Linked DNA regions of Arabidopsis thaliana. The protein of the gene in region 1 binds, or shares a complex with, the protein of each later gene. Each region holds a gene or a part of one and is shown in the gene's direction. Other genes may lie near its edges.

The links. Proteins that work in one complex are often made in the same cells at the same time.
Region 2: PBG1 (region 1) and AT1G79210 share a complex: the UniProt entries of both Arabidopsis thaliana proteins name them as parts of the 20S core complex.
Region 3: PBG1 (region 1) and PBD2 share a complex: the UniProt entries of both Arabidopsis thaliana proteins name them as parts of the 20S core complex.

Annotation. Positions count from the first base shown.
Region 1 is NC_003070.9:21,139,826-21,145,003, forward strand, and holds PBG1 (20S proteasome beta subunit G1), read left to right. Parts: upstream 1-1,807; 5' UTR 1,808-2,144; coding exon 2,145-2,153; intron 2,154-2,263; coding exon 2,264-2,328; intron 2,329-2,431; coding exon 2,432-2,508; intron 2,509-3,487; coding exon 3,488-3,617; intron 3,618-3,702; coding exon 3,703-3,862; intron 3,863-3,945; coding exon 3,946-4,131; intron 4,132-4,247; coding exon 4,248-4,361; 3' UTR 4,362-4,633; downstream 4,634-5,178. Other genes in the region: TPR5 (Tetratricopeptide repeat (TPR)-like superfamily protein), read right to left, coding at 113-325, 414-496, 601-722, 854-978, 1,063-1,191, 1,277-1,375, 1,616-1,657. UniProt on the Arabidopsis thaliana protein: Non-catalytic component of the proteasome, a multicatalytic proteinase complex which is characterized by its ability to cleave peptides with Arg, Phe, Tyr, Leu, and Glu adjacent to the leaving group at neutral or slightly basic pH.
Region 2 is NC_003070.9:29,795,581-29,800,772, reverse strand, and holds AT1G79210 (N-terminal nucleophile aminohydrolases (Ntn hydrolases) superfamily protein), read left to right. Parts: upstream 1-1,936; 5' UTR 1,937-2,117; intron 2,118-2,455; exon of another isoform or gene 2,456-2,512; 5' UTR 2,513-2,532; coding exon 2,533-2,573; intron 2,574-2,667; coding exon 2,668-2,744; intron 2,745-2,831; coding exon 2,832-2,896; intron 2,897-3,024; coding exon 3,025-3,071; intron 3,072-3,268; coding exon 3,269-3,344; intron 3,345-3,511; coding exon 3,512-3,579; intron 3,580-3,808; coding exon 3,809-3,878; intron 3,879-3,977; coding exon 3,978-4,063; intron 4,064-4,139; coding exon 4,140-4,202; intron 4,203-4,288; coding exon 4,289-4,354; intron 4,355-4,438; coding exon 4,439-4,487; 3' UTR 4,488-4,692; downstream 4,693-5,192. Other genes in the region: AT1G79220 (Mitochondrial transcription termination factor family protein), read right to left, coding at 347-1,546; SCI1 (splicing regulatory glutamine/lysine-rich-like protein), read right to left, coding at 5,062-5,192. UniProt on the Arabidopsis thaliana protein: The proteasome is a multicatalytic proteinase complex which is characterized by its ability to cleave peptides with Arg, Phe, Tyr, Leu, and Glu adjacent to the leaving group at neutral or slightly basic pH.
Region 3 is NC_003075.7:8,498,327-8,502,740, forward strand, and holds PBD2 (20S proteasome beta subunit D2), read left to right. Parts: upstream 1-1,939; 5' UTR 1,940-2,071; coding exon 2,072-2,229; intron 2,230-2,320; coding exon 2,321-2,444; intron 2,445-3,133; coding exon 3,134-3,181; intron 3,182-3,414; coding exon 3,415-3,732; 3' UTR 3,733-3,914; downstream 3,915-4,414. Other genes in the region: ATSUV3 (ATP-dependent RNA helicase), read right to left, coding at 38-160, 280-420, 503-693, 772-893, 1,037-1,196, 1,440-1,503; AT4G14805 (Bifunctional inhibitor/lipid-transfer protein/seed storage 2S albumin superfamily protein), read right to left, coding at 4,048-4,271, 4,352-4,408. UniProt on the Arabidopsis thaliana protein: Non-catalytic component of the proteasome, a multicatalytic proteinase complex which is characterized by its ability to cleave peptides with Arg, Phe, Tyr, Leu, and Glu adjacent to the leaving group at neutral or slightly basic pH.

The DNA of each region.
Region 1 (5,178 bases):
CATGTGATAATAATATCCGACAAACTTTACTAGTAAAACTAATTCTACACGACCTTTTAGATGTGCACTTTTGAACTTAACTTATATCAAACAAAATAAACTTGAAATATACCTCAGGTTGTATATTTTCAATGAGCTTCTTTCCCGAACTTTCATTGCTACCTAGAACAGGCTGAACAATATCCCTGTTCGTTTTGGCCACTAGGGTCACTGGCTTTGAAGTCATTTCTGTCTTTGGCTTTTGTATTTTCTTATCTAAACCTGATGTTTTGAGTAATTCTTGTGCAGTGCTTTGCATTGCTCCAGTGGCTTTCTCAATGATTTCCTGCTCAAAATTCAAAAAGTTAAGTATTTGTGAAGCATTTAAAATTAACCTGGCAAAAATGCAGCAAAGAAGCATATGAAAATATTACTTTCTCGAGCAAAGATTTGATATCGGCATATTGCTTCTTAAGTTCCTGGCTCTCAGGCTCCAATCTTAAGGCAAACTCAGCATCTGCGAATAATTTTAATCACCTTACATATGCAGCAACATGTAATAAAGAAATTGTATGTATCTTAACAGAACAGAATGAATGATTATATGGGTGCGAGGGATACCTTCTTTGGCTTCTTTAATCATGCCGAGTTCTTTTCTTGCTGTTGCTCGGCGTGAGTAAGCTTTTATATATCGATCATCCAGATTTAAAGCTTCTGTGCAGTCAACCTCAGCCTCTCGATATCTAATGTAAGAATCATTTTACAAAGTCAGAAAATATAGCTTAAAGAGGATCAGGTAATGGAAGACAAGTGGACACACACAAGAGTCACAGTGATGAATGAATAAAACCAATGAAACAGACAATGAGCAAACCTTTTGATTTTAAGGTAAGCCATTGCTCGATTTGCATAAGTCACAGCATTTGGCGATAAAGCAATGCTCCGAGAGTAACAATCAATCGCCTCATTGAACTTCTTCTGCTTGAAGAATTCATTACCCTGTATTCCAAGAGAGGTCCATGAGAAAGATTGCATCACGAGAATATCACATAACAAAAACAAAGCTTGAAGAAGAGAAAGTACCTGCTCCTTCTCTGAACTAGAATCCAATAGACTTTCTCCAATCAAACTACTCGACAAATCCCTAATGGAACGATACTTTTTAGCAAAGTCATATTTCCCTGACCCACTTGGTCTGAACGTCTCACTACTCTGAAAGTTCAAAACAAGGAATCTCATAAGGATGCATTAAGTTTTACAAATGAGAGCACTTCTGTATATACACAAAAGAACGAACCGGATTCGACGAATTAGCAGGTTGTTGCTTAATCTTCTTGTCTTTATCCTTCAATGAGAGTTCCCAATCCTGCAAGTCATTGAAAAATCCCTGGAAATCCTGGAAAAAAAAATTCGAAACCAAACGATGCAAGTAAACATCTAATTCGTTCTTAGTCTATATACATAATCGATTGTACAACAGTTCGTTGAACTAACAATCTCCATGAAATCTAGATAACGAAGTGGAGATAAGGAGCACGAGTCGTTTCGATTTTTTTCCTTTTTCATTCTCGAGTAAACAGAGATTTTAGCTAGAGAAGATTCATGTAAGAAAGATGAATCGAGTAGAAATGGTTACCTGAGTTTGATCGCGGCCGTGTTTGCTCGGTGACCTAGCCATTCTGAGAGAGATTCTCCGGCGAGCAAATAGTCGACGAGAAAGAGCAAAGATGATTCTAGAAGAAGACTGAGAAAGTCACAGAGTTCAATTTTGAACTACAGTATTGGACTTGGGCTTTCCGATATTTGAGTAATGTCGGGTGGGGTCATGTCAGTAACCGGGTTAAATCGATAATATTGGTTGAGATCGGGTAGGTCGGGTCAAATCGAGAATAAACCGGCCCGTTTGACACCTCTACGTGTGAAACTGAGTCAGGTCGGGTCAGGTAAAGAACCGTATTAAACCAATAAATTGATATTAGTGTGTGAGATCAAATCGGATCGGGTGAATAACCAGGTTAAACCGGTAAACACCGGGTCAGGCCCGATTCGCTATGTTTCTTGAGCGAAAGGAAATCACAGAAGTCTTTTTAGTGAGGTAAACAAAACCAAAACCATCAGATCTTAAGAAGAAGAACCTAAAGCTCACTACGATATTTTTCGAGAATATGACGACTGTAAGTCAGATCAATCTCGTCTTCAATGTTCTTATTACTATCTCTGCTTCTGATCCTTCTAGGTTTGATTTCGTTTTCCTGATTTTGATTTTGTTTCTTCTTCTGAGCAGTTTTCTGTTCCGATTGATAACGGAGATTCTATGAAGATCGCAGAAGAAGAATCACAAAGAACACTGTAAAAATCTCTTACTCTTATGCTTATGTAGGGTTTTCGATTTTGAGAAAATTTGGGATTCGATTTTGAATTTATTAGGGTTTTGTTTTGGTTTTTTGTTTAGGTACCCATATGTTACTGGAACTTCAATTGTTGCAATCAAGTACAAAGATGGGGTTTTGATGGCTTCTGATATGGGAGGTATGTCTCAGCTCCTAGTTTCAGCTCTTTATTTGGTTAAGTATTTGTATTGGTTTAATGTATGCACAAATTTTTGCAATGTATGTTTAGATTTACATCTGTTATAAGCTTGATTGCTTGAATCGTTTGTTTTGCCTCTCTTGGTGTTTGTTTGGTTAAATCTGTTTCTTTTTCTCTGTGAGAGATCATCACAAGTCAGTGAATAGATCATGTGTTTCAGATATGCTCGTTTCATGCGTATGAATCCTTCAAATTTCATTTCTCTAGTGTCTTTTCTGCTACATTTTTAAGTATGGTTTGATTCTTTTGGTCAAATTTGATTTTTGCATCTTTATAGACGATTCAGTGAATTAGGGTCAAACACTATTATGCAGAACAGGTTTTGTTATGTCTATTAGCTGCTTGATTGATAATAATATGTATTTTGGGCTAAACATATAGACAAGCAATTGCTTTTTGTTTTTTATGAGATTAGTTTCACATCCCCCTTGCATTTGTTTTCTTAGCTACGTTATCTTTCCAACATAGAATGTTACAGTTCTTTGGTTGTTCCTGTTTCGTCTCTTTAATATTGTTAGATTTAGGGTAAACTAAGAATTGAGGCTTCTTTTATGAATGATCCAGAGAATAATGTTGAAAAGTCTTGACTGTTTCTAGATCTTTTTGCTTTTGTTTCGGTTCCCTGTGTGCCATCCATTGTTAATTAGGTCAAGAGATGACAACTGAGAATTAACGTTACAACCATCAACCAGTACTTAGCTATGTTCATTGAAATAGTTTGATTTCTCATATCTTAACACCGACTCACAATAAGTAAGAGCTGTCATTTGTTTGTACGGTTAATAATTTTGATGGTATATCTATGTAGCTTGGATTATTCTTTTATGTTCTAATGGTGTGATCCTGGTTTCCTGGGACTTATGCACCAGGGAAATTACGATATTGTGCCATCAACTCACTTTCAAATTTTTGCATGCAGGTTCATATGGATCAACCTTAAGATACAAGAACATCGAGAGAGTGAAGGCTATTGGTAAGCATTCTCTTCTTGGTGCCAGCGGAGAAATCAGCGACTTTCAGGAGATTCTCCGTTATCTTGATGAGCTCACGTAAGAATCCGTTTGGTTCAATTTTTTTATATTTTAATCTTTCCTTGTCAATTATCAAGCCTCACAAGCCCTTGGTTTTACACAGCCTGAATGATAACATGTGGGATGATGGTAACTCTTTGGGACCAAAAGAGATTCACAACTATCTGACCCGTGTGATGTACAACCGTCGCAACAAGTTTAACCCTCTGTGGAACACTCTCGTCCTTGGAGGCGTCAAAAATGGGAAAAGTTACCTTGGAATGGTACGTCTCAGTCTTTCAAGTCACATATATAAAATTTTCTTATGAATGTAACTATTGATTTGGATCCATTTGCTTCTCTCTAGGTGTCAATGATTGGTGTTAGTTTTGAGGACGATCATGTTGCCACTGGATTTGGAAACCACCTTGCTAGGCCAATTCTTCGTGATGAGTGGCATGCAGACCTGAGTTTTGAAGATGGTGTCAAGCTACTTGAGAAATGTATGCGTGTGCTTCTTTACCGTGACAGATCTGCTATTAACAAGCTTCAGGTTTGTCTCTAATAACAAGTTTTGTTTACCGTTATCTCATCTCGTATAATCTTTGTTTAGTTTGGTAGAAGTTCTTCATAAGGATTGTAATAACAGAAAATATGAAAACTGTGCAGATAGCGAAGATCACGGAAGAGGGCGTGACGGTCTCACAGCCATACTCATTGAAGACATACTGGGAATTCTCGTCATTCCACAACCCAACTGCTGGTGCTGCAGGCTCCTGGTAAGAAGCCAAGCAACCACATCGGCTGGCGATCTTTTAAGGAAGCTTTTATTTTATTTTATGTGATGTTGTTAAACACTTTGTACTGTAGTTGTTTTACTATTAAACTTGGTGGTTTCTTTCTGACAGTCCAGAGTTTAGATCAATGAGGATTTATAAAAAGTACTGGATATCTTTGGGTAGTAATCCATACCTTTGTTCATTGTTGATCGTTCTCCATCGCTTTTTGGTCTCCTTTCTCTTTTCTCATTTTAAGTGAAGTTGACACAATTTGCACACAAATTCATAAAATTAATAAATCATCTATTGGAACCTACTCTCTCATTATTTATTAATCATAATTATTTCAGTAAATTCTTAACAAGTAAAGTATTAACAACTCCATTTCGTGATATGCATTATTCATCTCCTAATTGAATCCAAATTCCAAAAGTACAAATTCCATCAGGTTATTATCTAGTCAAATAGGTTTTTAAGAGCATCTCCATTAGAAATTCAAAGAGTTTTCCAAACAAACAAAAAAATAAAGTTTTATTATATGATTAATTTTTTTTATTTTAGTTAAAAACTGAACTAATGATAAAGAGAGAAATGTCATGATGAGTTGTAGAGAGTATCTCATAGTTTCTCAAGTGAGAAACTTTCTACCTTCTTTCTCTTTCATTTTTAATATTTTTATTTTTTTAGTTGTGAAAAACTCTTGTGAAAAACTTCTAATGGAAATGGTCTAATAGTTACAAGATCTATTAAATTCATAGGGTGAGTAGTTTTCTTGAACTTGTAAACGTAACAAGTTGTATATTTTCTTGAAATTTATAACC
Region 2 (5,192 bases), 8.7 Mb from region 1:
TTAGAAAGACGCCAAAACTATTTGCTGTCAGATTGATTCTCTTCAAGTACTAAACCCAAAAAGGTTGCAACTTTGCAAACGTTTTTATCAATAAAGAGGATTTTGTCACTGCCGCCACGAACGGGTCTGGAAGAGAGACACGTCTAGGGCGTCTTTGGCGTTTCGTTTCACCAAACGTGCTTCTTCGCGTTTTGTGTTTTGATATTTTTCTATTCCGGTTTAACTAATCTGATCTAAACCAAAACATGAACCGATTCAAAAGTATCCATTGATAAAGCTGGAAAATTCTACACAATGTTACATCTTTAATGAACATATCCAAAGAAACAAAAGATGAAAAAGAGATTCAAAAGGGGAATCCTTTACGGATGTATTTCTTGGATTTCTCAGCTAAACGTTTCATGTTTTTGGATTTCTCGTAAAACTCCATCAGCTCGGTTGCAATATCTTGTGGATGACACATTACATAAACCTTCAAGAACCGTTTCTCGCTCATCCTTACCGCTCTGAAAATGCTCACTTCTTTTATCAATGGCTTTAGACGCATTTCCAAGACTCTCTTAACGAGATCCGCACGAGGTTTTAGACGAGACTCGAGGTTGAGGAGAAGCAAACAAGGGTGCTTAACCACGGAATGAGCTGGAAGTTTCATCGAGGCTATGACGAAAGTCATGTTTCTCTGAACTTTCTCAACAGAGAGAGAGAGAAGGATTGGGCATTTTCCATACAGGTGCCAAATCTCTTCTTCCGAGAACCCAAACTTTTCCAAGTTTCTAACTTTCTCTTCGATTGTCTCCATCCTCGAGACCCCGATGATGACTGCAACATATTTAAACATCTTGGATTCTCTGGTGACTCCAGTTTTCTCAATGTATTCAAACTTCTCATTGTTAAAGTTTGTTCTTGGAATCAACGTGGGTCGCGATATCAACATTGCGACAAGATCCTGTTGGCTAAAGCCCAACCCTTTGTAGTATTCTATCGCGGGTTTGATCTTGTCATCGAGGTCATACAACATGAGTGACGGATTCCGGATAATGACTCTGCGCAACACCTCTTTTGACCCCAAAATCTCCATGAAGTAGTTGATCCTTTCATCAAGGACAAGACGGCAACTAAAGAACCTAGGACGACAGTTAAGAATCTTCACAAGGTCTGAAGACGTGATTCCCAGTGGCTTAAGAAGGCTTAACTTAAACTCTAACTGAGCAACATTGGCTCTCTGCAAAGCAGGCCTACGAGTAAAAAGCTTGGATATTTCATCATCATCACAACCCCATCTTCGTAAAACTTGTAAAGGACTACTAGTAATATCTCTCACTTTCTCTTTTTCACCAACTTCTCCAACATAATCAAATTTTTTTCTCCTAGACGATAGATCAGAATCCTCAATGCATTCTTCAGATTCATTCAGGCATAACGTCGAACACCTGGTGGTAAAGGTAGCAGAAATGAGATTTCTACAACCAGCCTTTCTGACCAAGCTCGAACTAGTAAACAATAATCTGATAACAGCTAAGAAATTTCTCTTCCCGGTCGAATGCATTTCAAGGGCGTAATCGAGAGTTTAACAAACTGGAGAAATAAAGGAGCAAATTTTCTCTAAGAATCAACAATGGCTCTGCCTCAACGACACAATCAGCGACATTTACACGCGTATTTCAGATGCTTCTTCCATCCAATTTTCCGAAATAGCTAGAAAAAATGGAACAATTACCAGTACACGAAGCTTGTGATGAACGAGCGAAGAAACAAACTCCGACCAACGGAGGAGAGTTTGTCAGAGAAGAAGGAGGCGATGGAGAGAGACACAGCCAATTCGGACCAGGTTTGAGTCCGAGTCGGGCGTGGAAGCGAGAGAGAGTAGGGGACTAGGGGTAGTAAATAAATAATGTGGTTCAAACTGAAAAGAGATATAAAATATTGGACTATTATGTAAGATACAGTAACTGTGAAGTTGTTAAAACGCCGCCGTTTTGGTTTTTTTGTTTCTCTCGTTTTCTGGCGTCAGACTCTCACCCTTTGTGCAAGAAACCTTGAGAGCTTAAAAATTCTTCACTTGGGTCTCTTCTCTCTCTCTTCTCTTGCGACCATTCCGTTCGATCCATATATCAAAGGTATGTTGCTTTGATTGAATGGGTTTCTTTTGTTGAATTTAAATTGATAACTTTAAATATATTGAATTTGGGGTTTAAGAAAAGTTTTCAATTTTCGTCTCTGAGTTTGAGCTAAGAGCTGATCTTTGAGTTTGAGTTTGTGTTTGATTTGATTCACTCACAATTCTTAATTAGGGTTGGTATATCTTGTCTTTTTCATCGTTTTCCTTACACATTGCCCATGGCGATGAGACTCTTCCGGGTTTTTAAGCTTTGTCAGATTTGAACGCTTCAGTCTACTTACTTGCTCAGACGTGGTTTCTTTTCATTTAAGTTTGAACATTGTTGATGAAGAACAGATTTAGCTTCCACGTTTCTAAATTTCCAGAGATGACACTATTTCGCATTTTTTGCAGCTTGATTTAGTTGGTTTTCAATGGGGGACAGTCAGTACTCGTTTTCTCTCACCACCTTCAGGTATTAACTTTGTTTATCATATCAATGTTATCTCTTTCTGAGCATTTGGAACGGTTTCTTCGGGGTTTGATTCATGTTGTGGTTTATGAAACAGCCCATCAGGGAAGCTGGTTCAGATAGAACATGCCCTAACAGCTGTTGGATCAGGCCAAACATCACTTGGAATTAAAGGTTTTTTCAATGATCTAATCAAATTCGAGAGGAGATTTTTAAGGAACATTGTCTTTGGTAATCATGACTGTTGTTTTCTTTATGCAGCTTCAAATGGAGTTGTCATTGCAACTGAAAAGAAACTTCCTTCTATATTGGTTGATGAAGCGTCTGTAAGTTTGATCAACTCTTTATAGCAATTAGTTCTTTTTCATTCTGTGCCTGCTCGTGTTACTTTCCTTTCGGTTGCATAGTTTCAGTAACTCCTACGAAACTAATGTTTATCTATTGTCTGTTTCAGGTTCAAAAGATTCAACATTTGACTCCCAACATTGGAACTGTTTACAGGTTCTTCTCTTCAGCTATCCATACTTCTTTTTTAATAGCGAATTTGGTTTTATAGCTTGCAAATTGGATTTATCATACATTTTTTATTTTGTTTTGGGTACTTAGTCTCTCTCATCAGGTGCTAGTGCTACTGATGGAACCTTTCCCTTAGTACCCTAATGATTTCAGTGCTAACTTTGGTATTGCCTTTTATGTAGTGGTATGGGTCCTGATTTCCGAGTTCTTGTGCGAAAGAGTAGGAAGCAGGCTGAGCAATATCTCCGTCTGTACAAGGTAATCTTTAATATCTTCTGTTTTTTTGTCTTCTTTTCCTGGAGTGTCTAGTAGTACATGTATGATAAAAACTTTGGATTGATGATTCCAGTTGATATAAGTTCTTGCTTATTCATAAATCCAGATCGCTCTGTTGATTCAACTTCTAAGGGCGTTTATTGTTGCAGGAACCCATCCCCGTTACTCAACTTGTAAGGGAAACTGCCACGGTGATGCAAGAGTTCACTCAATCGGGGTAAGTACTATATCGAGTGTTATGTAATTACTTCCTCTCATATGCTCAACAGGGTTCAAAAGTGTTATTGGCTCAGAGATTGCAACTCTAGAGCGAGTCTCTCTATGCACTTTTTAGCTCAGTTTTGATATTGATTTGGCGTGAGATAATGTTGTTAATGCAAATCTGTATTTGCAAACTAGACTACTGAATCTTGCTTCTAATCTCTGTCTCCTTCTGCTGTTAATAGTGGTGTTAGGCCGTTTGGAGTTTCTCTACTGGTGGCTGGGTATGATGACAAGGGTCCACAACTGTATCAAGTAAGTAGAACTTTAAAGAAAATATAACCATCCTGCTCAAAGTGAAGTAAAACCCGTAAACTGAAAACATCTTATTTCATAATTTTCATTGGCCACTAGGTGGATCCATCTGGCTCTTATTTCTCATGGAAAGCTTCTGCAATGGGAAAGAATGTTTCGAATGCAAAGACGTTTCTTGAGAAGAGGTGATAATAATTTACCATTTGTGGTGATGAGTTTATGATCTTGGAAGCATGTCATTTCATCTTAGTCTTTGATCAGGTACACAGAAGATATGGAACTTGATGATGCCATTCACACGGCAATATTGACATTGAAGGAAGGGTGAGCATTTTTACCAAAACTTAATTTACTTTATTTCCAGAGTTCAGAATTTCTCAAAAGCCTATAACCTCCGTGTCTTTTCACAGTTTCGAGGGAGAAATCTCAAGCAAAAACATCGAGATTGGCAAAATCGGTACTGACAAAGTTTTCAGGTAAACATTCAAGACTACAAAACTAATATAAACAAAAAATCTTGTTATTCCCATCAATATCTGAAAAGTGAATGTTATATGCAGGGTGCTAACACCAGCAGAAATCGATGATTACTTGGCTGAAGTCGAGTAAAACTTTCACTTAACCGTGCAACCAACCTGATTTGAATCTCAGTATACTCTCAGAGTTGATGGTTCTTGCTTTTGTAAAACTTTTGGAATTTGTTAAGGAGACTCGTGACCCAATAATTTAGAATATGTTTTTTCACTCATTTAAACGTCTGTTGTGAAAATTCAGTTTCATATAACCAAGTTTCATGCACACAAATTACTTAGCCAAAGCTACATATACGCTGTGTTGTAAATGCCAGTAGGAACTTACATACTGTACAAGACCAACTTTCAATCAAAACGGTCTATTTCTCCCTTAACCGGATATCAAATTCTCAATGTTACATAAGGATTCATCAGATAGTTCTTCGGCAACTTTGGTTAAGACCTTGGATATGTAAAGTTTGTCTTACTCTGAAAACCGACTACATATCTCTCCACGACAATCTATCTAACTAGTTCAGCAACAAGAAGTTCTAAGTAGAGAAACTACATAGAAATATATCTCTGATGCAATCAACCTTCACGTGTACAAGAAGCAAGAAGAGAGGTAACCGGCGAACCACAGAAGAGGAAGGTATTGCTTTTGCTTTTTTTCACCTACGCTTGATCATCCAGTCGTGAGCTGTTCGTGGGGCAGTGGAGATTCCCTCGTAGTATCGAGACTCGAGTTTTCCTCTGTTCCATCTCTTGACAAATCGTGAGAACAGTCCTCGTGCAGCTTCGG
Region 3 (4,414 bases), on another chromosome or scaffold:
AATACAGGAAGAGAGAACAAGATAAGTAACTGCTAACCTTATACGCATATATATCTTTTCGGGAAAAAGTGACAAGACAATCCCCAGTTTTAATACTGGAAACTGATGAAACAGGAACCTTCAAAGGGACTAATGGTGAAAGCCTCTCATAGGTATGAACCTGAATTCAAAATAAAAGGGATCAAGAGGTCGTGATTACATCAAGAGTATTGGTATTTAATTATAAACAAGAAATAATTAGAGAAGAAAAAGGGACTCTAGCTCGAATAAACATGATACCTCGACATCATCTCCAGTTACTTTCAGTATATCTTCAACAAGAGGTACGACAGCTGGATCGCCACATAAATGTAGCTCATCAGCCGCGATTCCAAGTAAAGCACGAGTAAATGCAAATCCCCTTTGTTTACATCCCACCATCTGAAATTAGGGAAAGAAAGGATGAGAATAACAAACAAAAAGTTCTTGTCGATTTCTTAAGCCAAAGTCGAGCAAGACTAGCCTGAATTTCGTCAATGATGGCACAATCGTAGACAGATGTAACATCAGCCATTTCAACTGTCACAGCTTTGTGTGTTGCCCCTTCCACTAAGTCTTTCTCTTGTCCCGTGATCAAATCACATGGAACATTTGCTTTGTTTAACCGTTTAGCTACCTCCCATGCCAACAATCTTAACGGACCACAATATACACCTTCAAGTGAAAGAAGCAAATTTTAAACAGTTCAAGAACTGGCTTCCAAAAGGTTTATTAGTCACCTTCAAGGCATACCTGAAGAACTCTGTTCAAGGTGCTTAAGGGCACTATATGTCTTCCCGCTGTTTGTCGGGCCAACATGTAGAATGACCTTACGCTTCTTCTTCCGAGCTATAGGATACCATGTATGAGGACAGCTAGAATTCAAAGTAATGACAGAAATATAAATCAGTTCCTCTTTACTAATCTCTCCACAACAACAATGGAACTGCAAAGAGAATCGCAATTAGTTGCTACTGGGGAGCTAACAAAAAAATTCTACAAGAAGTTTTACTCTTACGTGAGATCAGTGAAATCGAACTTTGAGGTGGTTCCAGTGCCAGTGAAATCAAACTTTGGAGATCCAGAGTTCTTTCTATAATTCCTAGTCAAGACACCTAATCTCAAAAGGTCACCAAACTCAGGTTCAAAGTGAAACCGCCACAAACTTCCTTTATCAGCTGAAACATTAGGCAACACGAAGCCATCATAAGATACAACGTTAAACCAATCCAATCTTCTTCTAGACACTACACAGAAACAGATGTAGAAGCTGCAAAGCTCATAAAGGTTCAAACTTTCTGTATCCAGATGATCAAAATTTCTGATAGTTCCTTTCTAAGATCACTTACAAACTACAATCCGCAATTTCTAACCAAAAGAGAACCAGAAAACAGAGAAAAAAAGGGTTTAAAAGCTCCAACCTTGAAGAACACGAGAAATCCCCAAAGCTGAAACCTTTCGAAGCCGAACAACAGAATACGCCATGTTTAGATTGTTTTATCTATTGAAATGAAGACACAACACTTTCTTATCCTTTATTCACCATGGGAAATACAATTCGAGTATACTCACGACGACACCTTTCATTTGCTTTGAAGGAAGCTCAAAGTTACAGAAATCAAACTCTTGAAATCGAGGACGAGATAAACAATAAAGAGAAATTAAAACCAAATTCTCTTTTATAATTAGAAACTGAAGAAACCATCTCAGACTTCCATTGTTAGACCTTATTCTTCTCAGAGGGTCGGCGACTCAGCAAGAAGCGGGAGAGAGAAGAAAACGAGAGGTTCCTTTTTAATTTACAAATTAACCCCTAAGCTTTTCCTATTACTCTCTCTTACACCCTCCTACTTTAAAAAATAGAAATGTCCCCATAACGTTAATATGTCTAAAATACCCCTGACTATATTCTAGAACTACCAAATCAACCCGTCTTGTTCGCCAAGTCGCTTTGATCTAAAAAGCTCTTAAACTATTCTTCCAGCGACCGGAAGAAACGAATAATCGGAATCGAAAAATTCGAAAAAGGAACTGAGAAGAAACAGATCTGAAGATGGAGTGTGTATTTGGTCTAGTTGGGAATGGATTCGCTATCGTGGCGGCGGATACATCAGCAGTTCACAGTATTCTTCTTCACAAGAACAAAGAGGACAAGATCATGACTCTTGACTCTCACAAGCTCGTCGCCGCTAGTGGTGAGCCTGGTGACCGGTAAAAAAACTTCTCCGTCTCTCTCTCTGTCTGTGATTCAGTAGTAGTAGTACATGAATTTGATTTCTGTTTTTTTTTGGATTTACTTTAGGGTTCAGTTTACGGAGTATGTTCAGAAGAATGTGTCACTGTATCAGTTTCGTAATGGGATTCCTTTGAGTACTGCTGCTGCTGCTAACTTCACTCGTGGAGAACTTGCCACTGCTTTGAGAAAGGTTCTAACTTTTCTTCTACGGTTTTTTATTTTTTTATTTCAGAAGTTTCTCTGCCTTATTTTAGATTTGGGGAATTAGGGTTTTAATCTCTTTGAGGTACATATACTTTTATGAAATAGTGAGATTGTGGGGTATCATCAGATCAGCGATTGGTGCTTAGTGCTTATTCTTGGTTTTTTAGTTTCCTCTTTTGATGCAATGTAGTTGAACTTGTCTTTCTTCTTTAGTTAAACATGTCAATTTTTTTGAAGCTTTCCTCTGTCATACTATGGTTTTGATTGTGTTAAGATGTTTGATGCTTAATACTTGTTGATAAGTTTATATAAGCCTTTGTGTTTCACTTCCTCTTGTATGGTGGTGTAAAACCATTGTTGATACAGGTAGTTCTAATACTTGTTAATATTCATTACCTCAGAGTAGCTAAATGCCATTAGAAACTTTACCTAATGTGTTCATTATGTAGACATAGTGTGGCCTTTAGAAATATTCAAGGTATTTCAGACTATTCTACACATTGTTGCAGTTTTATGTCCTTGGATGTTACAGAAGATTATCTTTGAGTTGGACGAAGTTATGAAATTTAGAATTATGATGCAGAAAAGATGAAACTCGGATTACAGCTTAATAGTTTTCTTATGCCAAGCTTGATAAGTAATATTATTTCATTAACTAAGAATTTACAAGACTAGGAATTTTGTGCTACCTTCCAAGGTTACTCTGACTTCTGTGTCTTGATGGTGAAAATCTGATACTCAAGGCTAACTGATGTGTGATCATTTTTACCGGTTTAGGGTAGATCTTCCAACTTTGGACAGTGTTGAGTGGGGTTTATACCCATGTAGCCTTAGCTATAGATTGTTAAATGATCTGATTGATTCCCTGGATTTTTTTGGGTTGTTTAGGACTGGTCTGCATATTCGCACTTGACATTTTGAGATTTCCCATTGTTGTCTGTTCTATTTGATTCCAGAATCCATATTCGGTGAACATCCTGATGGCTGGCTATGACAAAGAAGCCGGCGCATCTCTATACTACATTGACTACATTGCAACCCTCCACAAGGTTGATAAGGGAGCATTTGGATACGGCTCATACTTCTCTCTCTCTACAATGGACAGACACTACCGCAGCGACATGTCTGTTGAAGAAGCCATTGAATTGGTGGACAAATGCATACTCGAGATCAGGTCAAGGCTGGTCATTGCACCACCAAACTTTGTTATCAAGATTGTTGACAAGGACGGAGCCCGTGAGTACGGATGGCGTATCAGCACTGCTGATGCCTAAGTTGTTTTCATTGTGTTTATTAGTCCATTTATGTTACTCGGCTCACATTTATATTCTCTGTTGAACTTCAAGCTCCCTGGATATTAAAGTTCCTAGATAATGATGATGATATGCATGTGTTGAACTTTTTCTTTCCTTATTGCGTATATGAAGCAAAAGATAGTGCAATGTAAACCTAAACATCTTCTTCTACTATATCATCTCTATTCTCTGCGTTTCTACATAGGGAAGACTTTAACACAAGCCCAATGGTAAAATCTTAAGTATCAATGAAGTAAACATAAGCAGTAAAAAGCACAGAGAGCTTAAAACAGTTCAGATACGAGCGAGAATAGAAGTGGCAAAAGTCATGATGATAGTCGATGGAAACCAGAAGTTTCTGATCTTGAGAGAGTCGCTTGAGAAGTATTGTAGAACTGGTAGTGGTGGTGGTGGTGGTGGTGGTGCTAGGGTGGCTGTTTCCGGTGAGAATAGATCGGAGCTTGGTGAAACTTCCGGTGCTAAGTCGACTGATTGAGGAGAGGCAGAAACATTATTACCTGCAGAATATGAATGAATGAAGCAAGTTACATGTCAACGAAACTTAAAACAGAATCCACCGGAATAATCCGTTTCTTACCGGAAACAAACGGATTTGTGAACTGAATACTCTGAAGCGGAGGAAGCTCCGGCGACTCTGCAC